5 linked regions of the Oryctolagus cuniculus genome follow. The protein of the gene in region 2 interacts with the protein of the main gene of each other region in a biochemical or structural test. Links are inferred from orthologs where the notes say so. Each region holds a gene or a part of one and is shown on either strand. Other genes may lie near its edges. The genes, in order: DLG1, RALBP1, ras-related protein Ral-A-like, SYNJ2BP and DLG4.

Region 1 (5,842 bases), on a different chromosome or scaffold from region 2:
AAAAATGGAGATCGGGTAAAGTTGTGCAATCTGCAATCTCTTTATGGCGTTTCCGGACACATCGAGGATACAGTGTTTGCCCTAAAATTGAGTAAAGCAGTAAACCAAGTGAACCATTTCTCTTCACTTACATCAAAGGTACATTTCCAACAGGCACAATAACTAGAGTATGCTTACTCACTGACTGTAAGCAAATCTGTCAATCCTGTTAGCAAATTTTAGATGGGAAGTAAAATATAAAATTTATGGGTAAATAGTTTTCCACTATTGAAGTAAGAATTTTTTTTTTTTTTTTTTTTTTGGACAGGCAGAGTGGACAGTGAGAGAGAGAGACAGAGAGAAAGGTCTTCCTTTTGCCGTTGGTTCACCCTCCAATGGCCGCCATGGCTGGTGCACTGCGGCCGGCGCACTGCGCTGATCCGAAGCCAGGAGCCAGGTGCTTCTCCTGGTCTCCCATGGGGTGCAGGGCCCAAGCACTTGGGCCATCCTCCACTGCACTCCCGGGCCAGAGCAGAGAGCTGGCCTGGAAGAGGGGGAACCGGGACAGAATCCGGTGCCCCGACAGGGACTAGAACCAGGTGTGCCAGCGCCACAAGGCGGAGGATTAGCCTAGTGAGCCGCGGCGCCAGCCTGAAGTAAGATTTCAGAAAGTTATAAACAGTTCTCACACTCCTGGTGTTCAAAGATTAGTATTCTCTCAATGGCAACCAATATAGGGTGCTGATCTTTAATTTTGTAAGACAGAGCATTTAAAAAAAGACCCCAAACTACTCTCATCATAACCATAATTTCATAAAATATATGATCAGCAGAAGGTAAAAGATCCTAGAAAAATGGGTAAATATCCTAAACTGAGTAAGTTTAAATTTGTAAAACCTCACTACCATTATTCTCCTTCTCATTTTATGTGGACTGGCAAAACTTTTATCATAAATTGGCATCTGGAAATCTCAATTCTGACTTTAAATAACTTTTCTGACATGCTTAAATTCACCGACTAGACCACTTATGTTTGCTGTCCTCTTATCTCTTCCATTCTTTTTTTTTCTTTCTTGAGATTGCTTTTGCTCTCTACAAGGTTTGCACATGAAACAGTTTACTTGGATTTGCTGTTTACTTTCCTATTACTAATCTGAAGTCTGGATAATATCTATCTTTTATCTAGGCTAAGAGTTTTGAAATTAAAAATTTTATTTTTCAAGAAATAAAACATTCTCCAAAGCTGGTTTTAATTTCCTTCTCTTCCCTTCTAAAAAGAAACCAAGAGATAGTAGCTGTATTATTCTCATGCATGTTTTTGTTTACAAACAAGCATCCATATATTATTATTGGCTGTTTTATACTTTCTAACATTTACATAAGCAAACTTTATAATTCACTATTATAATTTTGAGACTTAGCAATGTGGATACACCTAACTACTAGATATACAAATTTATGCACTCTGGCTGTTATATCCCACTGCATGAATAAATGAGGGTTGACTATCCATTCCCTTCTGTTGATTCCAATTTTTCACATTATAAGGTGCTACTGTGGATATATGTATACCTAGACATGAATAAGTAGAATTTCTGAATCACTTATTAGGTATTGCCCAACTGTTGTCAAAGGAAGTTATGTTCATTTATATCCCAACTACCTAAAAATTTCCATTTTCTCAAGTCCTTGTCTTCACTTCTGGGACATATGCACTTTTTCTAAAAATGTTAAATTAGAACAAACTTCTTTTAGAAAAGTAGCATTTATATATGGGAAACTTATTACTGCTTTATGTTTTGTTACAGCTATTTCATAATTGAGACTTAAACTCTAAGTTTTAAAGGTATACAATGTTTATTTTCTAGGCCCAAAGATTTAAGAAACAGCACTATGACATTGATTTAGCTTCACTATAAAACTTTTAACCCAGTGTCACCATTTCACCAGATGACTACAAAAGATGCTTTCAGAAAGTCTATTGCTGTTGTTTGTGAATTCCTGTTTTTTTTTTTAAATGTTAATATTGTTGTTCAAGTCAGATTCTTTTTTTTAATGTTTATTCGTTTTTATTTATTTGACAGGCAGAGCTATGAGAGAGATTTTCCACATGCTGGTTCACTCTCCAAATGCCCAAAACAGCCAAGGTGCAACAGGTTGAAACCAGGAGCCCAGAGCTTCATCTGGGTTTCCTACATGAATGCCAGAGACTCAAGTACTTGAGTCATCATTGTTGCCTCCCAGGCACAACAGCAGGAAGCTGGATTGGAAGTGGAGGTGGAACTTGATCCTGGGCACTCTGGTATGGAATGTGGGCATCCCCAACTAGTGGCATAACCTACTGTCCCACAACACCTGTCCAATACTGTCTTTGTAATTTTTAAAAAACATGTATTTATTTGAAAGTCAGATTATACACACACACACATATATGTGTATATACACATACACACACATATATATATGTATACACACACACACACACACACACACATATATATATATATATACACACACGAGAGAGAGAGAACTTCCATCTACTGGTTCACTCCCTAAATGGCGGCAACAGCAGAAGCTGCGCCAATCCAAGCCAGGAGCTTCTTCCGGGTCTTCCATGTGGGTACAGGGGCCCAAGCACTTGGGCCATCTTCCATTTCTTTCCCAGGCGCAGCAGCAAGGAGCTGGATTGGCAGTGGAGCAGCCAGGACTTGAACTAGCACCTAAATAGGATGCTGGCGTTGCAGGCAGTGGCTTTATCTGCTATGCCACACCATCGAACACCATATATATATGGTGTTTTTTTGTTTGTTTGTTTGTTTGTTTGTTTTTAACAGGCAGAGTTAGTGAAGGAGAGAGACAGAGAGAGAAAGGTCTTCCTTCTGTTGGTTCACCCCCCAAATGGCCACTACGGCCAGCGCACTGCACCAATCCAAAGCCAGGAGCCATGTGCTTCTTCCTGGTCTCCCATGCAGGTGCAAGGCCCAAAGACTTGTGCCATCCTCCACTGCCTTCCCGGGCCACAACAGAGAGCTGGCCTGGAAGAGGGGCAACCAGGACAGAATCTGGCGCCCTGACCGGGACTAGAACCCGGTGTGCCGGTGCTGCAGGTGGAGGATTAGCCAAGTGAGCTGCAGCGCTGGCTATATTGTCTTTTTTTTTTTTTTTTTTTTTTTTTGACAGGCAGAGTGGACAGTGAGAGAGAGAGACAGAGAGAAAGGTCTTCCTTTTGCCGTTGGTTCACCCTCCAATGGCCGCCGCGGCTGGCGCACCGCGCTGATCCGATGGCAGGAGCCAGGAGCCAGGTGCTTTTCCTGGTCTCCCATGGGGTGCAGGGCCCAAGCACTTGGGCCATCCTCCACTGTACTCCCTGGCCACAGCAGAGAGCTGGCCTGGAAGAGGGGCAACCGGGACAGAATCTGGTGCCCCGACCGGGACTAGAACCCGGTGTGCCGGCGCCGCTAGGCGGAGGATTAGCCTAGTGAGCCTCGGCGCCGGCCTATATTGTCTTTTAAATGAAGACTCAGAGGAGAAACTTTTGTCTAATCTCAATACCAGCAGCAACTACATTTATCTTGAACATTTCAATAATTTTTATTGTTGGATACTGCAGATCTTAGTTCCTCAATTACATGAAATGCTGGAAAGCTAGGACCAAAGACAGGTCTGTCTCTAGCAAAAGGTCTTAAAATAACAACTGCCCCTCTTAGATTTGTGCTATTCTTTCTACTCCCATTTTTTTTTTTTTTGGTCTATTTTATCTTGTATGTAAACTTGTATGTCTTTTTCTAAACCACCTAAAATTACTTAGTTCAATGAATTAAAAGTAATCAATCTATCATCCATCTTGTATCCTTTTAAGTAAGAACTAGAAGTTTCTGTAATTCTTTCATATTGTCAAAGGCATATCTGATGAACAGCATATTCTGCATTCATGTGATGCTTACCTTTTCTGCTACTTCTCGCACAGACTGAACACTTGTTCCATACAGGTGGTTGTTATACTGGCCAGCTTCAATGAATTTATGTTCCTGGATATCTTTTTCCATCTGTTCTCTTGAAGTCACAAAATGATAATCTCTTCCGTCTACCTCATAATCTCGTTTTGGTCTAGTTGTATCTTTAACAGAAAAGAACTCAGGGAAGTGTTTAATATTAAAAAACATAATAAACTCATTTTCTACTGAAATAATTGTTTTATAAAGTTCCAGAGTTTAATTTAAATCTAGAAAAGTACAATAATATGGAGGATGAAGCAGTAACTGATAAAATAACTAGGTATAAACCATTTTTTTTTTGACAGGCAGAGTGGACAGTGAGAGAGAGAGACAGAGAGAAAGGTCTTCCTTTTGTCGTGTGTTCACCTTCCAGTGGCCACCGTGGCCAGCGCGCTGTGGCCGGCACACTGCGCTGATCCGAAGGCAGGAGCCAGGCGCTTTTCCTGGTCTCCCATGCGGGTGCAGGGCCCAAGGACTTGGGCCATCCTCCACTGCACTCCCTGGCCACAGCAGAGAGCTGGCCTGGAAGAGGGGCAACCGGGACAGAATCCGGCACCCCAACTGGGACTAGAACCCGGTGTGCCGGCGCTGCAAGGCGGAGGATTAGCCTATTGAGCCACGGCGCCGGCCCAGGTATAAACCGTTAAAAATTATATTTACAGGCCGGCGCCGCGGCTCACTAGGCTAATCCTCCGCCTAGCGGCGCCGGCACACCGGGTTCTAGTCCCGGTCGGGGCGCCGGATTCTGTCCTGGTTGCCCCTCTTCCAGGCCAGCCCTCTGCTGTGGCCAGGGAGTGCAGTGGAGGATGGCCCAGGTGCTTGGGCCCTGCACCCCATGGGAGACCAGGAAAAGCACCTGGCTCCTGGCTCCTGCCATCGGATCAGCGCGGTGCGCCGGCCGCAGCGCGCCAGCCGCGGCGGCCATTGGAGGGTGAACCAACGGCAAAGGAAGACCTTTCTCTCTGTCTCTCTCTCTCACTGTCCACTCTGCCTGTCAAAAAAACAAAACAAAACAAAAAAAAAAAAATTATATTTACTTTGTCACACAAAGTGATAGGAAAATAAAAACAATAATTATAAGAGTTTTTCATTGGGTTACTCACGAGGAACACAGGATCCAAATTTGTCAGGAAATTCTGAGATCAAGTCATCATTTATCCTGTCTTTCATAGGTCCCAATATGATCACTGGTCGAGTATAATTAACTACAAAGATAAATTGCATGTTAAAAGGAATAAACATTCAATGAAAATTAAGGTATTTCATTTCATCAGAGAACAAAAACATTCTTAATTGTTTTGAAGAATTTATTTTTTTTTTCTGTCTCCACACCACTGTATCATCAAACAAAGTTTTTTTTTTTTTTTTTTTTTTTTTTTTTTTTGGACAGGCAGAGTCAGACAGTGAGAGAGAGAGAGAGGACAGAGACAGAGAGAAAGGTCTTCCTTTTCGTTGGTTCACCCCCCCAAATGGCTGCTACGGCCGGTGCACTGTGGCCGGCACGCTGTGCTGATCTGAAGCCAGGAGCCAGCTGCCTCCTCCTGGTCTCCCCTGCGGGTGCAGGGCCCAAGGACTTGGGCCATCCTCCACTGCACTCCCGGGCCACAGCAGAGAGCTGGACTGGAAGAGGTGCAACCAGGACAGAATCTGGAGCCCCAACCGGGACTAGAATCCTGGGTACCGGTGCCGCAGGCAGAGGATTAGCCAAGTGAGCCACGGCGCCGGCCCAACCAAAGATGTTTAACTAGCTATTTAATAAACTTTTCACTAACAGTTTAACCTTGACTCCAAGAAATTAAATTTAGCACATTTTAGCAGATGTTTCTATGAATTATCTCATTACAAATGAGAATATAAAGTACAGTGTT
Region 2 (5,842 bases):
AGGTTCTCAGTCATTAATGTACATTGATTCAGTAGGAGCTAATTCACACCCTCACTCCTACATCATCAACTAGTAAGGAATGGAAGTTCAGGGCAGATAAGGGAAGAGAGGCAAGCAGAGATTTGATGATATGCATGCAAGTAAATAAAAACACATTTCTTATTTAGTCTTGAATTTCTTATTCAATTTCTCTCTCTCTCTCTCTCTCTCTCTCACACACACACACACACACACACACAGCATGGCATTTTTTTCCTGTGTTTTTTAAAGATTATTTATTTAGGGGTCAGCACTGTAGCACAGTAGGCTAAGCCTCTGCCTGTGGTGCCAGCATCCCATATGGGTTCTGGGTTCGTGTCCTGGCTGCTCCTCTTCCAATTCAGCTTCCTGCTATGGCCTGGGAAAGCAGTAGAAGATGGCCCAAGTGCTTGGGCCCTTGCACCCATGTGGGAGACTGCGAAGAAGCTCCGGCTCCTGCCTTTGGATCTGCCCAGCTCCAGCCTTTGTGGCCATTTATTTAGGGAGCAAACCAGGGGATGCAGGACTTTTCTCTCTGTTTCTCCCTCTCTCTGTCTGTTAACACTATCACTCAAAAAAAAATAAATAATAACTTAAAAAAAATTTTTTTTAAAATTACCTATTTGAAAGGCAGAGTGACAAGAGAGAGGGGGAGAGACAGAGAACTTCCATACACTGGTTTACTCCTCAAATGCCCACAACAGCCATGGCAGGGTAGTGTCAAAAGCAAGGAGCCAGGAACTCCATCTGAGCCTCCTATGTGGGTAGCAGGAATCCAAGTACTTGGGTCATCATTGACTGCCTCCCAGGTGCACTAGTAGGAAGCTGGGTTGGAAGTGGAGGTAGGACCGGATCCCAGGCACTCTGACAGAGAATACCCAAGCGGTGCCTGTCTCACAGCACAGTTTCTTACAGCTAAGTCACAAGTGGAAAAGTCTAAGATTTAGACTCAAGTCTTGGTTCTACAGCTTAGTAATCATGTGCTAAAGTTTTCTCACCTCCCCTGACTTTCCGTATTCTTATCTTTAAGACATGACTAAATGAGAGCAACCTCGTCCAGATAAGCAAACACTTTGGTGCTGTGTACTAGTGTGCTGAGCCCTTTTCATGCATTATCTCATATTCAATATGCTTCACATCAGTCAAGTGAGAACACCAAGACCATAAGAGACGAAGCAAGTTAGCTAACTAGGAGCAGAGCAGGAATTTAAAGCCCAGCCTTTTGTATCCAAAACCTGTGCTCTTTCCACCATGATATCCTGACTTATTTGACATGAAACAGTGCAAGATAGAAATTTCTGACTTCAGTGTGCCATGAAGACATGCCTGATAATAAGTAAATAGATGAACAAACAAGAGCTGACCCTCCCCCTCAGCAGCCGGCATAAAGGCAGGCTGGAGGGCAAGGGGCGAGGCAAGGGTGCAAACCTGTCTCCTGATCTCCTCTTTGATGCCCGCCTGGGTCTCCGGCAGTGTGGGCATCGTGGCCATGTTAGACCACCGCAGAGGTTTCGTCACTTGCTTCAGCACCACATTTCCAAAGAGCTCTTGCACATGTGTGAAAAGCACATACAGGACACGATTGCTGATCTAGGAGGAAAACAAAAAGACTTGTAGAAAAACAATTAAAATTGTCATTTTACTTCCATTTGTGTCTGTCACACAGTGAATGACAATTATCTTCAAGATGGGCTGTTGTGGTGCAGTGGGTTAGGCACCACTTGGGATGCCCACATCCCATGGCAGAACACATGGGATCAAGTCCTACCTCCCTTTCTGATCCAATTTCCTACTGATGCACCTGGGAAGCAGCAGATGATGGCCCAAATATTTGGTTTCTGCAACCGCGTGGGAGACTGGGATGGCTCCTGGTTTGGGCCTGGCTCAGCTCTGGCTGTCTGCAGGCATTCAGGGAGTGAACCAGCAGATGAAAACACACTCACTCTCTGTCTCCCTACCACTGTCACTGTCACTCTTTCAAATAAAAAGAAAAACAAAAAAGAAGAAGTCCTCCTCAGGAGTGACAAGGAAGGCTTCGCTAATTAATGGCCAATTCAAGGAGAAAAAGGCAAAATCCATGTTAAATCATGTACTCAAGCACCAAAGGAATTGAAGGAATTTTTAAAAAGCCAAGAAAATGAAGCAGACACTGAAAGCTATTTGTTGTTTTCTATCACTACAATATTAACTGATTTTTTTAAAGAACCTTATGTTTTTAGTTTTCAGTTTGAGACCTTTCTAAAAAAAAAATTTTTTTTTTTTTTAGCGGCAAAAGAGAGACAGATAGAGTGCTCTTCTCTGCTGGTTCCCTCCACAAATGCCCACAATGGCCCAGCCAGGGCTGAGACCAGAGGCTGAGAACTCAACTGAGGTCTCCCATGTGGGTTTCAGGTACTCAAGTACTGCTGCTTCCCAGAGATGCACTAGCAGGAAGCTGCAAAAGGGAACAGAGCTGGCACTATAATGTGAGATTAGGGTGTCCCAAACAGCAGCGTAACCACTAGGCCGAACACCCACCCCTATTTTGAGTTCTTTTGATAATCACGAGTGCATCTACTGAGGTGGAGGAGGAAAGTGAGAGCATTGCAGGTGCACAGCTGTTGAGGCTGAGCCCTCCCTCCAGACAGGAAGGCCTCCTGGGCACACCACAGCAGCAACCTAACATGATGATCACATGCTAGACCAGGACAGGAGACTGCTGGAAAATTAATATAATTTACAACAGTTTGACCCTTCTATGACACTGTCATAATATTATAGTAATATTATGTAACAATGTGACATTTAACAGATCCTAAAACCCTAACACAAATGATCAAATTGAAATTTGAGGAACATTTGGTATCCAAAATACACCAATCAGTAAAAAAACCACACTTGTACAACAGTGAGTTGGGCACCAAGGAGTCCAACATTCACTTATTTGATCAAGAAGTTAATGAGGATTTCATTTGCAATGGCAGATCCTGAGAAAATGTGCTATGGTCAAAAGTGGATTAAGACAAAGCCTACGACCCGGGTCTTTTTCTCGGCCTGGGTAAAGTATCAGCAAGTCTAATCAAAGGAAAATACACACCGTATGCCAGCAGCAACAGAGCTGCACTAAAGGACGGTCAGGTGCTTACGTTGTAAAAGGACAGTTTCCCAGAGGGCACTTCCTCAGGTGAAGAGCCTATCCTATGTCTCTGTAGACTCCTCTTTCAGAAATGAAACCCTCGGCTCAAATCCTTGACGAAACAAATTAGTGACAGGCCCCTCTGTGCCTGAGTTTGACCCATGTTTGTATTCATGAAGCAGTAATGCTCTGATGAAATGACGGAACCCTCTGAATTATGTAAATGAGCTCTGTAACTGCAGGAACCACTGGCTCCCCCTCCACCGTGACCAGTCACTGGGAACTGGGTGCTAACCCCCTGGGAAGAACGGCACGGTCCTCATCTCATAGAGGGGCTCATGACCTTCCCTGTCCACACCACTGATGGCGTGAAGAAAAAAAAGAGCTGTAATCAAGCTACACCATATGTACCCGCTCTGGCTGCCAGGTTCTCATGGCGACTCAGCAACAGCAAATGTCTCCACCTCCCCAGGCCCAGCGGGGGCAGTGGAGAGAGGAACTCGTACCTGGACAGTTGGGCTGAGCACTATGGAGATGTTCTGTATGTTCATCTTGGTCTCCAGCTCCTTGGCAATGACATGGTCCATGTGCACGATGAGCCAGGAAATCAGAAGGTGGTTACACTCCGGCAGCTCCTTGAGCAGGCGCTGGAACTCCTGCACTTTCTCACCCTCACTGGTCCTCCCACAGGCCTCTTCAAATCGGGGCATTAGCTCTTTGGTAAGCAGATTCTCTGGAAGGTCTCGTAAATACTGCTTCAGCAAACTGGCGACAGTATTGGGCTCATATTCTTCCAAGTTTGGAGACTCCTCTCGGTCGTAGGCTGCTTTTAGCTCATCTACCTTTGATTTAATTCCTTGAAACATTCAAATAATTGAGGAGAGAGAATACCAAGAAAAGCAAATCAAATACACAGCTTTCTCAGCCACTACACCCACCCCAGCTGGAAAGATCTGAGCACCTGCCTGACCAATAACAAACCTCTCACTGTGAATTTTTTATCTGCATGAGGCTCAGACAATTCCTCTGCAAATATAGCCCTGTAAAAGACCACACTTTGAGGGTAAATTTAACCAAAAGCCACATGATAGCCGAAAAAATATTCACAGCAATCACAGACATATTTTAAGCAAATATATCAAAGGATTCAGGAAGGAAAAAAAATCTTAACTTAAAAGGTAGTTAGGTAAAAAATTAGGGAAAAATTAAACTACAATCTAGGCACAAGTCTTGCGCTATTTAGGCAGACAACTGTTTTTTCTAACTAGCCACATGACTGACAACACAAGATGAAACTCAGTGCACATGAAAACATTCCCAAATTTGTGGGTAAATTTTTTTATACGTAAAAATTATACTGTAAATGTGAAAGGTGAGTTAGCTGCCTAAACAAACTCAGAATTATCCAATAATCTCCATCTAATTTTTACTTTAAATTTAGAATTCTTTCAGTGTTAATCTGAACAGAACTGGAACAAAAAAAGTTTTAAGTTTGTGTTTCAAAAAAAATTAGATGAAGTTTTGGTTTCCAAAGTCAAATTGTTTTACTTTTCTCGTTGGACAGTAAGAAACTCTTAACACAAAGTGAATACTTTTCAAACATTATGTCTTTGGGGCCAGCACTGTGGCCGCCATCCGCAGTGCCAGCATTCCATATGGACAATGGTTCAAATCCCAGCTGCTCCATTTCTGATCCAGCTCTCTGGTATGGCCTGGGAAGGCAGTAATGGCCCAAATCCTTGGGCTCCTGCACCTGTGTGGGAGACTCGGAAGAAGCTCCTGGCTCCCAACAGGCACAGCTCCGGCCATTGCAGCCATCTGGGGAGTGAACCACCAGATGGAAGACAAGACCTCCCCCTCCCCCTCTACTTCTGCCTCTCAAAAAAATAAATAATTCTTTAAAAAAAAAAAAAAAAAGACTATAGTCTTCATTATAATTTACTGGCAGTGACTGCTCAAATGAGTACTAAGTAACTTTTTCTGATTTTTAATACTTTAGACCAGTTATTTGGGACTAGCCTGAAATTAAGGCTGAGAGTTTCTAACAGTGAACATCACCTTAAATAAAATACTTACATTTGGGTTTTGGCATTTCTTATCCTACATGAAAATCTCTTAATGGTATTACAATAAATCTGTTACTTGCACACACTGACAAACATAAAAGCAATAGCAATATGAATCTTATTGTTGCATAATCTTTGAGAAAGTTAGAAAATAACCCTGTTTTCTTACATTTATGGCAATGTAGTAAAATGTGATGAACAATTCTTGATGAAAATTCCCTCTCTCATATAGGCGAGATCTTCCAAAAGATCATGAAAAACTTGCACCATCCTTAAACTTCATTTCCACAAACTTTTTGTAGTACCCTCCCCGTGAATACACTTTGTTGATATTTACCTTTCCCCCCTACAACACCTACCCAGCAAATTGCACAAGTGTGTGTATTTGGTTTCTTGTTACTCTGAAATTATCAAAATGTTTGCATTCTACAAACTGGACACTCCAAAGAGAGTGAGTGAGTTTAAAGACATATCTTAATGTAAAAGATATAATTAAACGTGGACACGGAAAATATATAAAACCAGTGAAACTGTCTCTCATATTAGTTTTAAAATCTGAATTAAGAGGCAAGCATTTGAGGCGGCATACCCTACTAGAGTACCTGGGTTTGAGTCCCAGCTTTGCTTCTGATTCCAGCTTCCT
Region 3 (6,543 bases), on a different chromosome or scaffold from region 2:
TTGGTTCACCCTCCAATGGCCGCTGCAGCCAACATGCTGCAGCTGGCACACCGTGCTGATCTGAAGCCAGGAGCCAGGTGCTTCTCCTGTTCTCCCATGCAGGTGCAGGGTCCAGGCACTTGGGCCATCCTCCACTGCCCTCCTGTGCCACAGCAGAGAGCTAGACTGGAAGAGGAGCAACCAGGACAGAATCCGGCACTCTGACTAGAACCGGGACTAGAACCCGGTGTGCTGGCGCCAAGAGCAGACGATTAGCCTATTGAGCTGTGGCACTGGCCGAAATTAGTTCTTTAAATGTCTGTTTGAATTCAGCAGTGATGCTGTCTGGCCTTTTAGGTTTCTTTGTTGGGAGAGTATTACTGATTCAATCTCTATTTTGGTTATTGGTGTGTTTACGTTTTCTATAAGTTCATGACTTAATTTTGGTAGAGTGTATCTTTCTAGGAATCTATCCATTTCTTCTAGGTTTTCTAGTTGTTGGCATACAGCTCTTTGCAATAATTTCTGATGATTCTTATTTCTGTGGTATCCATTACTATATTTCCTTTTTCATCTCTGATTTTATTGATTTGACTTTTCCTTTTTTTTTGTTCAGTTGCACCAATGGTATATCAATTTTGGTTTTTTTTTTAAATAGCTTTCCTTTTCATGGATTTTTGTAATTTTTGTATCAGTTTTATTTCTTCTCTAATTTTAATTACTTCTTTCTTCCTACTAGTTTTGGGTTTGGTTTGTTGTTGATATTCTATATCCTTGAGTTGCATTGATAGCTCATTTATTTAGTACCTTTCCAGTTTTTTCATGTAGACATTGATTGCTATGAACTTCCTTCTTAACATACTTTTGCTGTATCTCATATCTCATAGGTTTCAATATAATGTATTGCCATCTTCATTTGTTTCCAGAAATTTTTTGATTTCTGTTTGATTTCTTTTATGACCCACTATTCATTCTGGAGCATGCTGTTCAGTCCTTATGTCTAATTATGTTCTAGAGATAGTTCGTTTCTAGCTTCATTCCATTGTGGTTTGAGAAGGTGCATGGAATGATTTCAATTATTTTGAATTTGCTGAGACTTGCTTTGTGACCTATTTTTTTTTTAAAAGGAAGTTTATTGGTCTTTAAATGGCTCAAATTGCAAATAAACGAATTGGGGAGTGGCATCAGCCTAAGACATGTGATGCATCTTTGTCAGTTGGCTTCATAGCACCTCAGTACCCAGGAGAGGAAAGGTCTCAAAGCAAAGTCACAATGTTAGTGGTTAGGACCCCTGGTTAAATAAGACTGCAATGCGTGAGTACACATAGAGACTGCTGGGCCCGCTGGCCAGTATTACATTGGTAACTTTAATTCTGCACATGGCATAACCTATGAAAAATATGAAATGGAAGATGTACATCTCACACCTTTGAGGAACAAATATTTAACATGACAAGCTGGATATAGTATCTAAAGAGCTGAGTTCCTTAAAAGTCTAGTTTTGTTAGCTTACATATACAACCTGTTACCTGGAATGCCTGAACACATCCTTGACTTGTTCAAATTAGGGCTGACTAAAAAGAAAAAAGAAAAAAAAATCTGTTAAAATCAACTGTCCTAATTCCATCCTGAGCAGGAAAAGAAAAGTGACAGTGGTCTGTGTATTTCTCATCAAAATTATGTATCCAAATAGCATGCCGGAACTCTTCCAGTGGCAACATCACACAATAGTGACACCGCCTGACACACTGTGGTCTCTGTGTGCCACACACGTTTTCTGCACTATGCCTGGGTTTGATTGCTTGATGTTATTTTTAGGAAGATATAGCTACACAGTGCTTAATTAGGAACATAAACAGACTACAGATACTCTCAATAATTTCTATAAAGCCAAACTGTAAACCTCAGGAATACAAGTTTAGAAATAAACAGGTGGCAAGCATGCTTATTCTCCCCAAGTGTTCTAATGCCAAATGCCTTAGTGCTGCTAACGTTTGTCCTATGCCCTAATTCCAGGAGATTAAAAAGTAACACTTATATGCTCAACACTCGTAGAAAGTGATTTCTAGGGACCAGCATCTTAGGAAAAAAAAAAAGAGGCTTCACTCACACACAAGGGGTACTGAATCTTCAAAGTCTCAAATTATCTTACAAGTAGATGCTGGCCCTTCATTTCATACCACCTTACAATTTATTAAAGCAGTCAAGAAGCTCTGGAACCTTATTTAAGAACCAGAGTATGGCACACAGTTTTCATCTGGACAGACTCCGAGTGGACAGTTATTTCTCAAGAACCTTCTATACAAAAGCTGTACTCCATACCAGGCATACAGTGTCTCACAGAATGATGAAACTGGGTATTTTTCGGTTTCTAAATTAAGGCATGTTCCAAAATGTCCGTGTACAAGTTTACACCACTTTTCTAAGTTAATCACCAGTTAATTAATGCAGACTCACAGATGAATTACTCTCAGTTTAACTATATGCAACAACCATGCCAACAACTTTTTCTTCTATATTTTGCATAACAATGGTTAAAAAAAGTGGTACAGTTTAACTATCATGTTCACAATTGTCATTTTTCAAGGCAGTAGACCAAGACATTTTAAAATCATATAAAATTTAAGCTTTATAATAAACACCAGAGGAAGTAGCCTTTCCTCCCATTCCCCACCCCACATCTCACCTCTTTATTTAACAGTTCCAGAAAGACTGCCTGAGAGACACACACGCTACATTCAGGACCGTGATAAATGTAGGCAGTTATGAAATAAGCTGAACTTTGCTTCTTGGAGAAGCCACATTAATTTCTTTTTAAAGTGAATCTGACTTTCAGTGCAGTTCCAATTCATGCTTTTAGTGATACATAACAATTTCCAAAATGTTAAAGTAATTTCAGTCAATTGGGCCTTCAATGGCAATGCTTATAAATTATATTTATTAGTATGGTCAAGGTAAGAAAGGAGTTTGGGCTTTGATTATAAAATGCAGCATCTTTCTCTGATTCTCTTGGCTAAACTTTTCCTCTTCTTTTTCCCATTCTTTTCTTTGCTGTCTTCCATCTTTCTGGCTCGAATTTCCCTCATTAAATCAAAAACTACCTTGTCAACATTAGCCCGCGTTTTAGCAGATGTTTCCACGTAGTTAACATTCCACTGGTCCGCTCGGTTCTTTGCCTCTTCTACGGAAACCTGCCTTTTATCTTCTAAATCTGATTTGTTACCAACCAGCAGAAATGGAACATTCTCATCTTCTTTTACTCTTAGGATCTGCTCCCTGAAGTCGGCTGTGGCTGCAAAGGATTCCATTTCCGTAATAGAGAAGACACAGAGGAAACCCTCCCCGCTCCGGAAGTAGTTGTCTCTGATGGCAGCATAGTCCTCCTGCCCTGCTGTATCTAAGATGTCGATCTGTACTTCCTCCCCATCCAGCACTACTTTCTTGCGATAGCTGTCTGCTTTGGTGGGCTCATAGTCCTCCACAAACTCATCATACATGAACTGCAGAGTCAGAGCAGACTTGCCCACGCCACCACTCCCCACCATGATGACTTTGTGTAAGGCCAAAGAATTCTGACCCTTGGGCTTATTTGCAGCCATCTTGTGTTGCAGAGTTTCCACCAAAGGACTAAGAAGAATCTGCACCTCGAGCCGGTCCGCAGCCCCGCGGGCTTCTGAAGCCGTGGCCGCGCTGGCTCCGGCCGGAGGGGGCTCGGCCCTTGTCTCTTTGTGACCTATTTTGTCTGATATTAAAATCACAACACCAGCTCATTTTGGGTTTTTGTTAGCATAGACTATCTTTTTCATCCTTTTACTTTCATCCTTTTACTTTACTTATATTTGTTGATGAAGTGTGTTTCTTATAAGTAACAGATAGATGGGTCTTGATTTTCAATCCATTCAGTCAGTCTGTATCTTTTAACTGGAGAATTGAGGCCATTTACATTCCAGGTGAGTATTGATAAGTAATGACCTGGCCCTCCACTTTTCCATAAATATTCATATCATTTACTTTGGATTTATTTTGTATTTCTATTGGGGTTTTCTGCTTTCTCATTCTTTCATAATGATGGCTATCTTTCTTTGTTTTTGTGTATGGCACATCCTTAAGCATCTTCTGTAAGGCTAGACGAGTTTCGATGAATTCTTTCAATTTCTGTTTGTTATGGAAGGTCTTTATTTCACTTTTATTCATAAATGCAAGCTTTGTGGGGTACAGTATTCTGGGTTGGCAGGTTTTTTTTCTTTTAAGACTTGGACTATATCTCAGTATTCCCTTCTGGCCTGTAGGGTTCCTGATGAGAAGTCAGCTGTGAGTCTAATTAGCGATACTCTGAAAGTGATTTGTCACTTTTCCCTTGCCCAGTTTAGAATTTTTTCATTATGTTTTGCTGTAGAAAGTTTGACTACAATGTGTATTGGTGAATATCTTTTCTAGTCATGTATGTTAGGAGTTCTATATACTTCCTCTGCTTGAACATTTCTATCTTTCTCCAAATTGGGGAAATTTTCTGTAAATATTTAATTGGTTTTCAATTCCTTTTTCTCTTTCCTCTCCTTCAGGAACTCCTAAGACTGGTATGTTGGGTCATTTGATAGTATCCCATAGATTTCCAACACTGTTTTCTTTCTTTTCTTTCTTTTTTTTTTCTTTGACAGGCAGAGTTAGACAGTGAGAGAGAGAGAGAGAGAGAGAGAGAGAAAGGTCTTCCTTCCATTGGTTCACCCCCCAAATGGCCACTACAGCTGGCGCTGCACTGATCCAAAGCCAGAAGCCAGGTGCTTCCTCCTGGTCTCCCATGCAGGTGCAGGGCCCAAGCACTTGGGCCAACCTCCACTGCCCTCCCGTGCCACAGCAGACAGCTAGACTGGAAGAGGAGTATCCGGGACTAGGACCCAGTGTGCCGGCACCACAGGCAGAGGATTAGCCTAGTGAGCATTGGCGCTGGCCTCCAGCATTGCTTTCTAGTTTCTTCTTCTTCTTCTTTTTTTTTTTTTTTTGTCTGTAAGATTTTCAAAGATTCATCTTCTAATTCAAATATTCTTTCTTCTGCCTCTTCAAGTCTGCTGTAAAGACTTTCCATTGCAGTTTTTATGTGATCCATTTTCTTTCATTTCTAAAATTTCATTTTGATTTCTCTTTATATTCTCAGTTTCTTGGGAGAAGTTTTCATTCATTTCTTGTATGGTTTTCTTTAGCTCATAGATTTGCTTCTGATTTTTTTGAGTAATTCTATGATTAATTTTCTAAATTACTCTTCTATCATTTCCTCAATCTTCTCATCTTAATATTCTAATATTTAAATGTTGTTATGTTCCTCTGGGGGTCATGGTGACTTCCTTATTCTTGTTTCTTAAATTTCAGCTCCTATTTTCTGGCATTTGTGGAGTTGATTTTTAATTTTTTCTTGTGTTGGTTTTTATCTTTGGGGTTATGCTTCTGTGACTTCATGGAATGTCTGCCCTTTCAGTGACTACCAGGAGGCATGTGGTGGGTGTGGCCCAGAGGCTTGGGTTAATGATCTAGGGTGGGGCTAGTTTCAGGGGTAACACCAACATTGGGCATGGTAGAACTCCAAAGCCAGCTCTTTCCTACACCTTTTTGTGTAGCTATAAAGGCTCTAATGTCTTAGCATATAGGGCTTTCACAGATGCCAAGATTATAGGGTGCTGTTGGTGCAGGTTCTCCTCTGTCTCTCATAGTTTCCAGGCCACCTTCCTGCCAAGCTCTGAGGCAGCAAGGGCTGTGGGCCATTCCCTCCATTGGTAGCTCTGGATCACACATGCACACTAGGTTCCCCAGTTTAAAGCCTGCCTGATGCTGCTAGCAGCTCTGTGTCCAGTTGTCCCATCTCAGTGAACTGTTACGTGCATGCTTGTGGTCTTCTGAGTTGTAGCACTGGTTTAAAAGTATGCCTACTCCCTCTATTGGTAGGGTCATGAGTTTTGTATTAGAGAGATTGGTTTGAATCAGCTGTCCCCTCTACTTCCACTAGGACCTCAGGTGACTGCCAGCAACCGCTAGCTCCCCAGGCTCCAGTCTGGACCCACTGCATGCTCTCTCTGGCTCTATGCCCATGGATTGGTGTAGATAAATCTGCCCTCACTGTCTCAATAGTGCTGCCAGCTCAGGCTGTCTGTGGCTTCTATTCTCTGGGTGTGTGTTAACACTCATCACACAATTTCAAGCTATTTCCCCTCCTGTTGTGGGGCTTCCCAGGTGGTTTTCTCTTCTCTTCTTTTCCAAGAGTGTACCTCCTATCCTATTCTCTGCATAGCCCTATATCCTAGCACTGCATAGCAGGCTGCTCTCTAGCCCTCAATATTTTTCTTTCAAACTTAATTCTTAGGTGACTTTTTCCTTGTGACATCAACGTGGTGAAAATTATTGAATTCTCTTTGCAACTATTTCATGCCCCCAAATTCCCAAAGCCATCTTGACCCAATCTTTCTCAGTTCTCAGAGGATATGTTGTTTTATCTTTTCTGGAATTCTAGGGGACTATAAATTAAACTTTCACTTTACTTTCAATCCTCAAAGCTATAAATACAAATATCTTTCCCTC
Region 4 (6,407 bases), on a different chromosome or scaffold from region 2:
AACGATTAAGTTAGAAATGTCTTTATAGTATACTTTAATCCAAAATGAGTGATATCAGGCCAAGAAAAAAAGAGTAAGAGGTTTTTGGGAACAAGTTAACATATAAAGTGGTTTTATATAAAGCATCAATTTTGATAAGCATCAGTACCAGCTTTCATTTGTAACACGGTTTGTAGCACTGGAAGAAAAGGATTCTGTGATTGTTGAAGTGAATTGTTATAACTGTAAAGAGATGATAAAATATTGAAAAACATTTTCTAAATGCATAGCACATGGTTAATTTGAGCTTCTGTACACTACAGTATGTTCCATTTTCATTCAGTTTGTTTATTTGCTCCTGGCTTGCAACCAGCCCAGCTCTGGCCATCATGACCATTTGTGGAGTTAACTAGCAGATGGAAGATCTTTCTGTGTTTCTCCCTCTGTCTATAACTCTGCCTCTCAAATAAATAAAATATTTTTATTAAAATCATTGGGAAGAAATTTGGACATGGAAATGTGTGCACAAAGGAAGAACCATGTGAAGACAAGAAAATATGATAATCTGCAAGTCAAGGAAAGAAGCCTTGGAGAAAAGTACTTCCTGTACCTTGACATTGCACTTCTGGCCTCCAGAAATGTGAGAAAATAAATTTCTGCTATTTAAGCCACTCAGTCTATGGTATTTGTTATGGTAACCCTAGCAAATTAATATAATCTGATTAGATGTAATCATCTAAGAAAGCATAGAAGACATAAAATATGCAGGAGTTTGAAACCAAAGGGACCAGTTACAGGGCAGCAAGCTGGAACAAATTCTACATTAAAGGAGAGGTAGATAGGTCATAAATGCAATCATATCCATAAATTAGCCATCACAGAAGCTGACAGAATAGTGAAATAATGGGAGGTGGCAGATAAGAGATTAGAAAGACAAGGTGAATGTATAACATGAAGTGTGTAAATATACAGTAAGGTATGAGTAAATGTGAGGCAAGATTTCCACTAATCTTGTAATGGTGGACTGACCTTGTCATCAAGATCTATACTTTCTGCACACCTCAAGGGCACAGAACCATAAACAAAAAGACTAATTTAGTGTCACTTCTGCCAGTGGCCAATGGTCCCCAATATCCATTCTCCCATTTTTAGTTAATAATAACAACCCTAATTTTTTTTTAGTTAGCACATTTCCATCCCACTAAAACATGGCATATTCTATGTCTCTCTCATAGTTAAATATAATCATGTAATAGGCTTCTATTCAAGGAGATACAAGAAATATATGAAACTTCCAATAGGTTCTCTTTGCCATTTCATTCCCTTCTTGAAATGTGAATATGAAGGCTGAAGTTCCAAAAACCATCGTAACCATCTTGGGCCATGAAGTAAAGGCCACACTCTAAGGATGAGAACTGAAGGGGTTATAGAAAGATGAAAGGAATCTGATTCCTTGGTGACTGAGGAGCTCCTCTATTAGCCTTTGACCATCCATCTCTAGTTCTTTACTGTGAATGAAGTACACTTCCATCTTAGCCTAATACATATAGAATTAAGTGTGTATCACTGCTCTAATCTTCCATCCTTAGCCTATTTTTCCCAGTAGCATCAATTTGTAGACTTTGCCCCACTCTCTATTCCTTAAATTTGAATGTTTATGTATATATATATATATCTTCCTTTTAAAAAATAAAAGATTTATTTATTTGAAAGGCAGAGTTACACAGAGAGAGTGAGAGGTCTTCCATCCGCTGGTTCACTGCCCAAATGTCCACAACAGCCAGAGCTGGGCCAATCCAAAGCCTGGAGCCAGTAGCTTCTTCCAGGTCTCCCACACAGGTGCAGTACCACTGGGTACTGCTTTCCCAGGCCACACCAGAGAGCTGGAACTTGAAGTAATGCCCATATAGAATGAGGACACTGCAGGCGGCCACTTTACCCATCAGGACACAGCACCAGCCCCTTAAATTTCTTAAAATTAAATAAGGCTTTTGTCAGCAACAATCCAGGAATCTTTTACTTAAGGTCCTGGGAACCATCTCTTCCCAATGTTAATATCAGGGAAAACAGTGCTCCTATCTCCTCTTACTATGGAAGTTAACCCAAGTGGTTTACACTAATCTTTACGCAACAGCTTGTCATACAGAGAGCAAAGTATTACTTTTCCTTTGCTAACCTGTATTAACTAACACAGAAGGCCACCCCAAAGGTGAACCATCAGAGAGTGGATAACAAATGGTGTTGTCAAGTCCTCTATGTAAGGACAAGCATGTTATGGTTTGTACCTACTTGGCTTATACGAGATTTTTCATTTTGGCAATCTCATCAATGGATTGCCTGTAACGTCCATCCCAGTCTAGTTTGATGCTCACAGAATAACAAAATTTTCTTTTCTATATTTGTGGAAATTTTGAGATGCCAAGATTCCTTTTAGATTTTTCCTCAGCAATATCAATTTCTTTACGTCCACTACCTTAACTAGCCTCCCTCCACCCCAACCTTACTTTTCCCAAGTACTTTCGCCGGTCAATAACTTGCGGCTTGCTGACCTCACAGTTTTCTCGGAACACTCAACGAGAGAACACAACCGATCGGCTGTGAGAACCACGACTCCCAGCATTCCGAGCGCTCTGAGCGCGGCGCACTTCCTCTTCCGGCCCGGAGGCTGCGCGAACCGGAAGTGCTGTTCTTAGACCGCAGCGCGGAGATTGATTCACCTTCACCTGGGCAGAGCCCCAGCTGAACCGAATAGGAGCGGTAAAACATGAACGGAAGAGTGGATTACTTAATCACCGAGGAAGAAATCAATCTTACTAGAGGACCCTCAGGTATGTGCGGAGCGGGCTGTCTTTGGGAGTAGGGGACTTGAGGTGTGCCTTTGCAGAGCAGACCCTCTTTTTGTTGCGCCGGATTCACCTGGCCTCAGAGTAGGCAGGCCCCAACGTAGGAGGTTAGGAATGTTGAAAGAATATATTGATATCCATCATTGGCTAGATGACGGGTCGGATTACAACACGTATTTCTAATCTGGAAAGATTTCTTTTTGCTCATGGTGCTAGAGAAGCCTAGAATAAAACCCGCTGTTTAGCCAGCATTCCGTGGACACACTCTTCCTTCTATTACCTGGTCTCTCCTTGTTCCTTGGAGGATCGTTTAGCCAAATTGGGAACGTAAACTATGTGACCGCTATATTCAAAAAGCTGTACCTATGGAATTTGTATTTATTAAATAAAACGATTCTTAAAAAAACAAAAAAAAACAATGTGAACTCTAAATAAATGCACAGATGTTCTGGTGCCAGGATTCCTTCCTCATTTCTGAGAAATTAGTATATAGTGTCAACTAGACTGTTAAAGCAGGAAGACGCTTTAGAGATCTGTTACAGGAGTTTCCAAACTTGGTTCTGCTACAAAACTATCCAGGCTTTGTTTTTGTTTTTGCTTTTTTATGCTAGTATAAAATTAGAATGCTGATTTCTAGTTCTCATTTCTAGAGATTTGGATTCAATACGAATTTGTTTTTAACAACTTACATGATTCTGATACAGTCAGATCCTTACACCTTCTGTACTCCCCCCTCCCCCAGATATTCCTTCCCTAGACTGAGCTGTTGACATTGCTACTCACTGCCTGCCTTGGACTTGGTTGGCTTTTTTTTTTTTAGCAGTTGTTGAGTTTATTAAGAGCTTTAACCATGGAATTGTACTATCTAGGCACAAAGCTTGTTATCTAACCGCTTACTGGTTCTTTGGTGTATTTTTTTCCACTGAGTGACATTGGTGCCTTAGTTGCTCATCTGTTAATTGGAGGTGATTATAGAATACAATATATAGTTTTTGAGAATGAAATTAATTAATTGATAAAACATCTAAATATATTTGTAAAATAATTAGAGCATTGTCTGACACACAGTAAGCAGTATGTATTTGCTACTACTGTTATTTTTATTGGGTGAATGGCTAGATTTGCATGGTAAATGTTATTGAAAAAGACCCTGTAGAAATCATAAGCCCCATGTGCTCCATCTAAAAATGTTTCTAAAATCCTTTTTTCTGTTCCCAGTGCCACTATCTATAATAGTTAATCACTTTTCTCATCTGGAATTTTGCAGTAGCTTAATCACCACTGACAGATTATCCTTTATAAAATATGACTTGCAGAACTACCTATATTTTGTGTCTTTCTTTTTGTTATATAAAATTGGAAGCTGGTCTTATGGAAATATAATTAAGCAGAGTAACTAAGCCCCTTGGATTCTTTCTTCCTATTTTATAAAATTTTTTTATTTCTCTTACTCAATACTTACCGACTTTAAAGCTAATATGGAAAGCTAGTTTTCAACCAGAATCTGTTTTTCTGTACCTTTCTGCCACTGGTAATTGTTTTTCATATAAGGCTAATTAAAACTGTGCTAGTTCCTTTTCTGATTGCCCTGCACTTATTTTCCCTTGCTTCTACTTTGCCTGGTCTTCCTTTAGCCTAAATATCTTGTTGTAACATTACTTTTTGTGATATTTGAGTTTGGGTTCTTGATTCTTGCTTAAGAATTTAATGTACTTGGCAGTGACATCTGCATCATTTCTAGAATCTCCCAACTAGAGCTGAGCAGAATCTTATTCTGGGCACTAAATAATTTAAATTCAGTATAATATCACTAAATCATTTTTGGCATTTGCAAAGCAGTGTTGCCTAATATTTAGTTCACCATTCACCACAACTTCTGAGTCTGTTTGTCTTGCAGATATAAAGTTCCTAGTGTTTGTATTTTTCAGAAGCATTGGAGTTAGGGCAAACTTCATGGGATTAATTAAAAGAAATTCTATCTAGCTAATATATTGCAACCAAAAGTGGATTAGTTTTTGTATTGTATGTGAGTTTATCCACAGGGTGGTTTCTTGAATTTTCCTAAACATTTTCATGTCTTAGTCACAGAGCCAGGGAACTTATGAGGAGGGTCAAACCACAACTTTAGGATTGAATATGGATAAAAACAGTTATTTGCAATTTGGTTTGTTCTATTAGCAAGGAAAGGTTTCAAGTTCCTATTTATTTCTAGAATTGGTATACTGGTATGTGATACTCTTGGTCTCAGATCTAATTCAGCTTTTCTTCATAGTGTTGTCATGAAGATAAACCACGAAGAAGTCAATAATCATCGTTAGAGTCCTCTATGTAATTTTTGTAATTCCATCGGGATCTTTCTTTCTATAGGAAGAATATGAAAAGTCTCTAACTACGTATACATTTTTTACAGTGAGCAGCATGGTTATTTGTCTTTATACAGCTTCCTACCCTAAGACCTCATCATTTAATGAAGGTAACTACAAGAAAGTGTGTACTGCTCTGCTTTTGTGCCAGTGATCTGGGATATTTCCACTGTTTATGCCCATTTTGCAAGGCAAATTAATCTGTTCCATCTAATCCTCCTTACTACAAGGAAAATTAGAACAATGAAATGAGTGTCTGAGATGGCACAAGGAAATTTGGCATGTAGCTTGCCATCTCATCTGTAACTACTTTCTCAACTGTGGAAGGAGAGACTTGGGCTAGGAGCTCCTCTTTTTTCCAAGTTAATGATTCTTTTGCCCAATCTGTGTGTTAGTCTGATTCTTGCTGTTCTGAACCAATTGGATAAAGAATTGGCAAAGACAATGATAACAATATCAAGTGCCTTCAAGGGTTGAACATTTCCATTTCATCATTTATGGAACTGCCTCTCTCTTTTTCTTTTATGGAATCCAGTTTTATTGTATTCTCCAAAGCTCCTGTCTTTTCCTTTATCACATTGAGAGTTCTTGATGTTGGAAAGAGTAGGTAGCTCTAAGAAGCTTGTCTCTAATCTAGCTTTCATTAATTTTGTCAGGTGGAGATGGTCCATAAAGGTAACCCTCCTACACAAGGGTACCAAGATTAAGATTCCTATTTTCAGGCCTAAAAACACAATGGGATTCAGCAAGTTGCTAAAATCGGTAAAGAGGGAAGAGAATCTCTGTTTTCTTCCTTTTTTTTTTTAAAGATTTATTTTATTTATTTGAAAGACAGAGTTATAGAGAGAGGTAGAGGCAGAGAGAGAGGTCTTCCATCCGCTTGTTCACTCCCCAGATGGCTGCAACAGCCGGAGCTGCGCCGATCTGAAGCCAGGAGCCAGGAGCTTTTTCCGGGTCTCCCACGTGGGTGCAGGGGCCCAAGGACTTGGGCCATCTTCTACTGCTTTCCCAGGCCATAGCAGAGAGCTGGATTGGAAGAGGAGCAGCAGGACTAGAACCGGTGCCCATATGGGATACTGGCACTTTAGGCCAGGGCGTTAACCCGCCATGCCACGGCGCTGGCCCCTTCTTCCTTTTTTTTTTTTTTTTTTCTTTTTGACAGGCAGAGTTAGACAGTGAGAAAGAGAGAAAGACAGAGAGAAAGGTCTTCCTTTTTCCGTTG
Region 5 (5,842 bases), on a different chromosome or scaffold from region 2:
AGAGAATGCACATAGCATAGCAAGATAAGGAAAATACAAGGAGCGCATGGAAGAGAGAAACAGCTGTCCTTACTTGTAAAGTGTACTTTCTCCATCTAGATTAAAATACAAGTCATTAACTGATGGACAAAAACATGGAAAGGTGAGCGTGTGGCCCCGAGCAGAAGAGCTGTTGTGGCTCAGCAGGTTAAGCTGTTGCTGGGATCCCTGTATCCCCTCCTGGGGTGGGCCCTGCATCCCCTGCCTCATTCGCTTCTGATCCTGCTTCCTGCTGATGTGCCTGGGAAGGCAGTGGGTAATGGCCCAAGTACCCGGGGAGACTCTTTAGCTTTCTGGCTTTGGCCTGGCCCAGCCCCTGTTATTGTGAGCTTTTGGGAAGTGAGCCCGCAGAGAGCAGATACTTGTCTCTCTCTCTCTCTCTGTCACTCTGCCTTTCAAATAAGTAAATAAATCTTAAATAAAAAAAGAATGTGGCCATATGTAAGTCAATAACCAGAATTGAGCTGGCGGGTCAAGCCACCGTCTGCAGTGCCAGCTGCTCCACTTCTGATCCAGCTCCCTGCTAATGTGCCAGGGAAGGCAGTGGAGGAGGGGCCCCTTCATCCCACGTGGGAGACCCGGATGGGGCTCCTGGCTCCTGGCTTCGGCCTGGCCCAACCCTGACTATTGCAGCCATTTGAGGAATGAACCAAGATGGAAGATCTTTCTCTCTCTGCCTCTGCCTCTCCTTCTAACTCTGCCTTTCAAATACATAAATCAATCTTTAAAAAACAAAACAAAAAACAAGAATCAGTAACTTCCCAGCCATGAAAAGATGATGTGATGGGTAAGAAGATCTCATTTGCTATAGAAAACAATTCTACAAAATTCTTATAAATACAGACTTGACAAGAAATATAAGATTTCTATGAAAAAAAAATGACGAAACTTTACTGAGGCATATAAAACAATGTTTCTGGATGGAATGACTTAATATGCTACAGCTCTCAAACCTCTCCAGATTAATCTATATATTTTATGCAAATCCAAATCAGGATTTAAATGTTGTTTTTCCCCCTGAGAATTTAGCAGGTTGATTTTAAAGTTCAACTGGAAAAATATGTGTGGGAGAATAACGAAGACATTTTTGGAAAGGAGTAATGAAGTACGCCTGCCCCTACTGAATATGAAATCAGACTGTGCAATCATATTTAAGTCACATGGCAGCTCTTCTTTTTTTTCTTTTGGATTTTATTTATTTTCATTTTCACTTGAGAGAGAGAGAGAGAGAGAGAGAGAGAGCGATCTTCCATCCACCAGCCCGCACAGGACTGGAATGCAGTCCGTCTCCCGCGTGGGTGGCAGGGACACAGGTGCCTGGGTCATCACCTGTTGCCCCTCCGGATGCACATTCAGCAGGAAGCTGGATCGAAGTGGGACACCCAGAACCTGAACCAGGCACGCTGAGATAGGATGTGGGTGCCCCAAGTAACAGCTTAACTGCGTGCCAAACACCTGCCCTGGGTGGGCCCTGTTTCTAAATACCAAAACCTCCCTGAAGAAGCCTGGCCTTCTTGGGGAAAGGGGAGCCAGTTTAAAATCCTGGGCAAGGGCCGGCGCCGCGGCTCACTAGGCTAATCCTCCGCCTAGCGGCGCCGGCACACCGGGTTCTAGTCCCGGTCGGGCACCAGATTCTGTCCCGGTTGCCCCTCTTCCAGGCCAGCTCTCTGCTGTGGCCAGGGAGTGCAGTGGAGGATGGCCCAGGTGCTTGGGCCCTGCACCCCATGGGAGACCAGGAAAAGCACCTGGCTCCTGGCTCCTGCCATCGGATCAGCGCGGTGTGCCGGCCGCAGCGCGCCAGCCGCGGCGGCCATTGGAGGGTGAACCAACGGCAAAGGAAGACCTTTCTGTCTGTCTCTCTCTCACACTATCCACTCTGCCTGTCAAAAAAAAAAAAAAAAAAAAAAAAAAAAAATCCTGGGCAAGGCTGGCGCTGTGGCTCACTAGGCTAATCCTCCTCCTGTGGTGCTGGCACTCCAGGTTCTAGTCCCGGTTAGGGCGCCGGGTTCTAGTCCCGGTTGCTCCTTTTCCAGTCCAGCTCTCTGCTGTGGCCCGGGAAGGCAGTGGAGGATGGCCCTGGTGCTTGGGCCCTGCACCTGCATGGGAGACCAGGAGAAGCACCTGGCTCCTGGCTTCAGATCGGCGCAGCGCACCGGCCGTGGTGACCATTTGGGGAGTGTGGGGTGAACCAACAGAAGGAAGACCTTTCTCTCTGTCTCTCTCTCTCACTGTCTAACTCTGCCTATCAAAAAAAAAAAAAAAAAAAAAAAAAAAAAAAAAAAAAAAAGTCCTGGGCAAGAAATATCTAAGATTCACTTGACCTCCATTCTAGAAAGCAAAGGTGGTATCCAGGACTACTAGAGCATGTCAAAGACACAGGAGCCCAACTTAAGGGATTCTTCCTGGCTGTTGAATCAGAACTCCTTGAGTTAAAATTTATGGGGTCGCAATAGTGATTTAAAATATTGGGGTACCTTTGGAGGCTATAAAGGGACCCATTCATTCTGAAAATAAAGAGGGACTGTCAGACCTTTGTCTTCCCATCTCAGAGTGGTCTACGTAAGTCAGTTCTTTATAGAATTCCTGCTAACAAATGCTTCCTTGTTCCCCCACCCAAAGTAGAGTATCACCATTTTGCAAACCCTGATGAATATCTAAACCAGGCAGTGATCATCAACAGCCTTGAAAATTTAAGTGAAAGACTGGCAGGCATTTGATAGTGCATAGACCAGGTTGTCAGCCACCAACCCTGCTCGTCACTCCAACAGAGATGCAGTAGTGGTGGGGCCGTAGGGAGCGCTCAGCGCTGCCTGTGACGGATGCTGTATTTAGAAATTGAACTGGAACCTGGTTGCACCCCCAGAACCAACTGCCAGCTTACAGGAGGTGGAGGGCAGAGATGCAGGATGAAGCAGACCTTGAGGATGCAGGCAGAGGTTTCTCTGTTGGATTCCCCTGGTAGGATGTTGGACGTTCTTGCAGACAGATAGCTTGTTCAATCAGTGGTCAAGAGGGAGAGGAATTCTGTGGCTGAAGGGATGTGAGAGAGACAGCAACCAGAAGAAAACCCCCAAAGCATGGATTCCCATTAGCCTGTAGCTTCATCCCTGGCCTGCTGTGGACAAAAAGCCTTTAAATCCCTTGTTTCCCACAACCACCCCGACACCACCTGTAAGTTGCTGACCCCTGGCAGGGCCGTGTCTGACGTCCCCACGGGGGTATCCCTGGCAGGGCAGCTTCCCTTTCACCTGAGTCTGGCTCTCTGGGTTCCTGCCCAGGGGGGAAGGTGGGGCAGTGGGTGCCGTGTCCCTTCCATCCACTTCCACCTTGTCTTTCCTCCCGTGTCCGCCCTCAGCGTACTCCCAGCACCTGGACAACGAGATTAGTCACAGCAGCTACCTGGGCACCGACTACCCCACAGCCATGACCCCCACTTCCCCTCGGCGCTACTCGCCTGTGGCCAAGGACCTGCTGGGGGAGGAGGACATTCCCCGGGAGCCGAGGCGAATCGTGATCCACCGGGGCTCCACCGGCCTGGGCTTCAACATTGTGGGCGGCGAGGACGGTGAAGGCATCTTCATCTCCTTCATCCTGGCCGGGGGCCCTGCGGACCTCAGTGGGGAGCTGCGGAAGGGGGACCAGATCCTGTCGGTGAGGGGAAGCCTGCCCCGCCCCTCACCGAGCTCCTTGGGGCGGGGTGTGTGTGTGTGTGTGTGTGTGTATGTGGCTGGGCTGATCCCTACTCCATGTGGACCTGGGAAGTGCCCCCGCCCTGTCCCCAGCCACACAGCCTCTGCTCCTGCCTGCAGGTCAACGGGGTGGACCTCCGTAACGCCAGCCACGAGCAGGCCGCCATTGCCCTGAAGAATGCGGGCCAGACAGTCACGATCATCGCTCAGTATAAACCAGAAGGTACCCGGCGCGGGGCTCCCCGCCGAGGGCATCCTCAGAACTCTCCCCTGGGCTGATGGCTGTCTGGGGGCGAGGGGAGTGGCCGCAGGAGGAGGGCAGAGCTCTGGAACTGTCTGGTCCTCCCTCAGAGTACAGCCGCTTCGAGGCCAAGATCCATGACCTTCGAGAGCAGCTCATGAACAGCAGCCTGGGCTCAGGGACGGCCTCCCTGCGGAGCAACCCCAAGAGGGGGTTCTACATCAGGTCAGAGGCTCGCTGGGCCGGGCTCCGCAGGCTCCCAGGGCCGGATTCCTTTGCTCTGTGCCTGTTCCCTGTTCCCCAGCCACTCTCCCTTAGCCCTGCCTTGTTCCCCTTTCCCAACCCCGGGGCGGGCGCCCAACGTGGTGATCAAGGAGGGCTTGGCTACAGAGGTTTACATTGTCACTCCAGAAGGCAGAGTTACAGAGAGAGAGGGAGAGAGAGAGAGCCATCTTCCATCCACTGGTTCACGCCCCAAATGGCCACAACAGCCAGGGCTGGGCCGGGCTGAAGCCAGGAGCCAGGAACTTCACCTGGGTCTCCCACATGGGTATCGGAACCCAAGCACTTGGGCCATCTTTCACTGCTTTCCCAGGTCCATTAGCAAGGACCTGGATCAGGAGAGGAGCAGCCGGGACTGGAACCGGCATCCATATGGGATGCCTGGGCTGCAGACAGTGGCTTAACCTACTAGGCCACAGCACCAGCCCCAGGTTTACATTGTGAAACACAGTTGACCTCTGGGCATCCACGGAGTCAGCCCACTGTGAATCAGGAATACTTGAAAAAACCACGGTGCTGGACTTGTCCAGACTTTCATCCTGTCTTCCTTCCCCAGACGATACAATGTACGCGTGAGGTGTTTACAGTGTATTCAGTATTATAAATGATCTAGAGATGACTTAAAGACCAGAGGAGGATTGCGTAGGTTACATGCAAATAGCATTTTATGTAAGGGACTTGAACATCCAGGGATTCTGTGTCTGCGGGGCCTCCTGGAACTGACACCCTGCAGGTTGCCAGGCAGACTGTGCTCGCAGGGCGGGGAACAGGCTCTGTCTCAGGTCTCTGAGGTGCCTGCTCTCCTTGCCGGGGGACTCCCGGGCTGCCCACCATTTAACACCTCACAGCTTAATGCCTGGCATAGCAGCGCCCCCTGGCACAGCTCGAGTGTTGCCCGAGCCTCCGTCTCGGGAGAGATGGGCCACAGCGCTCTCGGCTGTCTCCTGTCTCCTCGCTGGTGCCTTGCTCTCTCCTAGGGCCCTTCCTGCTGTTGACTCCCCCTTCCCCCATGGACTCTGCAGCCCGGGTGCCCGCCAGCCCCTCTCCTCCTCTCTGATCCTGTCCACTTGCACAGCCTGGGCCGCCCCGAGTCTTGCAGGCGTCTCTCAGAGCTGTCTGCCCTGGCCTGCCCTCTTCCTGGAGGTGCCGACCTGCAGCTCTGGCCATGTGCTTTCTGGGATGTCCCATAGGCAACTCATGCTCAGCATGGCCCACACCGAGCTCGTGGTCTTTCTCCTGGGTAGTGAGGTCTCCGTCTTGCCCAAGCAGTGTTACTCCCTCTTGCTCAGTGGCATCGCCGTCCACCCAGACACCAGGCTGAGTGAGACCTGGGTCCTCTCGGCCCTCCCCTCCCTGCTGGGATCTACCCCAGGGTCTTTCAGTTCTGACTTCCGGTGGGTGCTGAACGATCCTGGGACTCTGTCCTTTCCCGTCTCATTCCGGAACTTTAGTCTGCGTCTTTGCTCTCCCAGGGAGGGTTGCTGTCCCTTCTCTTGTGAAGCCAGGGGTGTAAGGACGGAGTGGGAGGCATTTCCTGCTTTTAGGGTAACCAGTTTGCGTGTAGGGGACCTCTTAGTTCCTATGGATCTCA

The links.
Region 1: the proteins of RALBP1 (region 2) and DLG1 interact in a test that uses a peptide from one of them, tested with the Homo sapiens proteins (2 studies listed by IntAct, with this or other methods). The link is inferred for Oryctolagus cuniculus from reciprocal best matches to the Homo sapiens genes RALBP1 and DLG1.
Region 3: the proteins of RALBP1 (region 2) and ras-related protein Ral-A-like form a complex in vitro, tested with the Homo sapiens proteins (3 studies listed by BioGRID). The link is inferred for Oryctolagus cuniculus from reciprocal best matches to the Homo sapiens genes RALBP1 and RALA.
Region 4: the proteins of RALBP1 (region 2) and SYNJ2BP form a complex in vitro, tested with the Homo sapiens proteins (2 studies listed by BioGRID and IntAct, with this or other methods). The link is inferred for Oryctolagus cuniculus from reciprocal best matches to the Homo sapiens genes RALBP1 and SYNJ2BP.
Region 5: the proteins of RALBP1 (region 2) and DLG4 interact in a biophysical measurement, tested with the Homo sapiens proteins (2 studies listed by IntAct, with this or other methods). The link is inferred for Oryctolagus cuniculus from reciprocal best matches to the Homo sapiens genes RALBP1 and DLG4.

What each region holds. Positions count from the first base shown.
Region 1 is NC_091435.1:83,521,925-83,527,766, forward strand, and holds part of DLG1 (disks large homolog 1), read right to left. Parts: intron 5,180-5,842; coding exon 5,078-5,179; intron 4,097-5,077; coding exon 3,924-4,096; intron 82-3,923; coding exon 1-81. UniProt on the Homo sapiens protein: Essential multidomain scaffolding protein required for normal development. Recruits channels, receptors and signaling molecules to discrete plasma membrane domains in polarized cells.
Region 2 is NC_091441.1:66,676,026-66,681,867, reverse strand, and holds part of RALBP1 (ralA-binding protein 1), read right to left. Parts: intron 3,990-5,842; coding exon 3,640-3,989; intron 1,609-3,639; coding exon 1,447-1,608; intron 1-1,446. UniProt on the Homo sapiens protein: Multifunctional protein that functions as a downstream effector of RALA and RALB. As a GTPase-activating protein/GAP can inactivate CDC42 and RAC1 by stimulating their GTPase activity.
Region 3 is NC_091443.1:114,066,514-114,073,056, reverse strand, and holds ras-related protein Ral-A-like, read right to left. Parts: upstream 3,717-6,543; 5' UTR 3,579-3,716; coding exon 2,958-3,578; 3' UTR 1,092-2,957; downstream 1-1,091. UniProt on the Homo sapiens protein: Multifunctional GTPase involved in a variety of cellular processes including gene expression, cell migration, cell proliferation, oncogenic transformation and membrane trafficking.
Region 4 is NC_091451.1:16,185,476-16,191,882, reverse strand, and holds the start of SYNJ2BP (synaptojanin-2-binding protein), read left to right. Parts: upstream 1-2,620; 5' UTR 2,621-2,743; coding exon 2,744-2,807; intron 2,808-6,407. UniProt on the Homo sapiens protein: Regulates endocytosis of activin type 2 receptor kinases through the Ral/RALBP1-dependent pathway and may be involved in suppression of activin-induced signal transduction.
Region 5 is NC_091448.1:51,806,837-51,812,678, reverse strand, and holds part of DLG4 (disks large homolog 4), read left to right. Parts: intron 1-3,394; coding exon 3,395-3,690; intron 3,691-3,848; coding exon 3,849-3,951; intron 3,952-4,079; coding exon 4,080-4,194; intron 4,195-5,842. UniProt on the Homo sapiens protein: Postsynaptic scaffolding protein that plays a critical role in synaptogenesis and synaptic plasticity by providing a platform for the postsynaptic clustering of crucial synaptic proteins.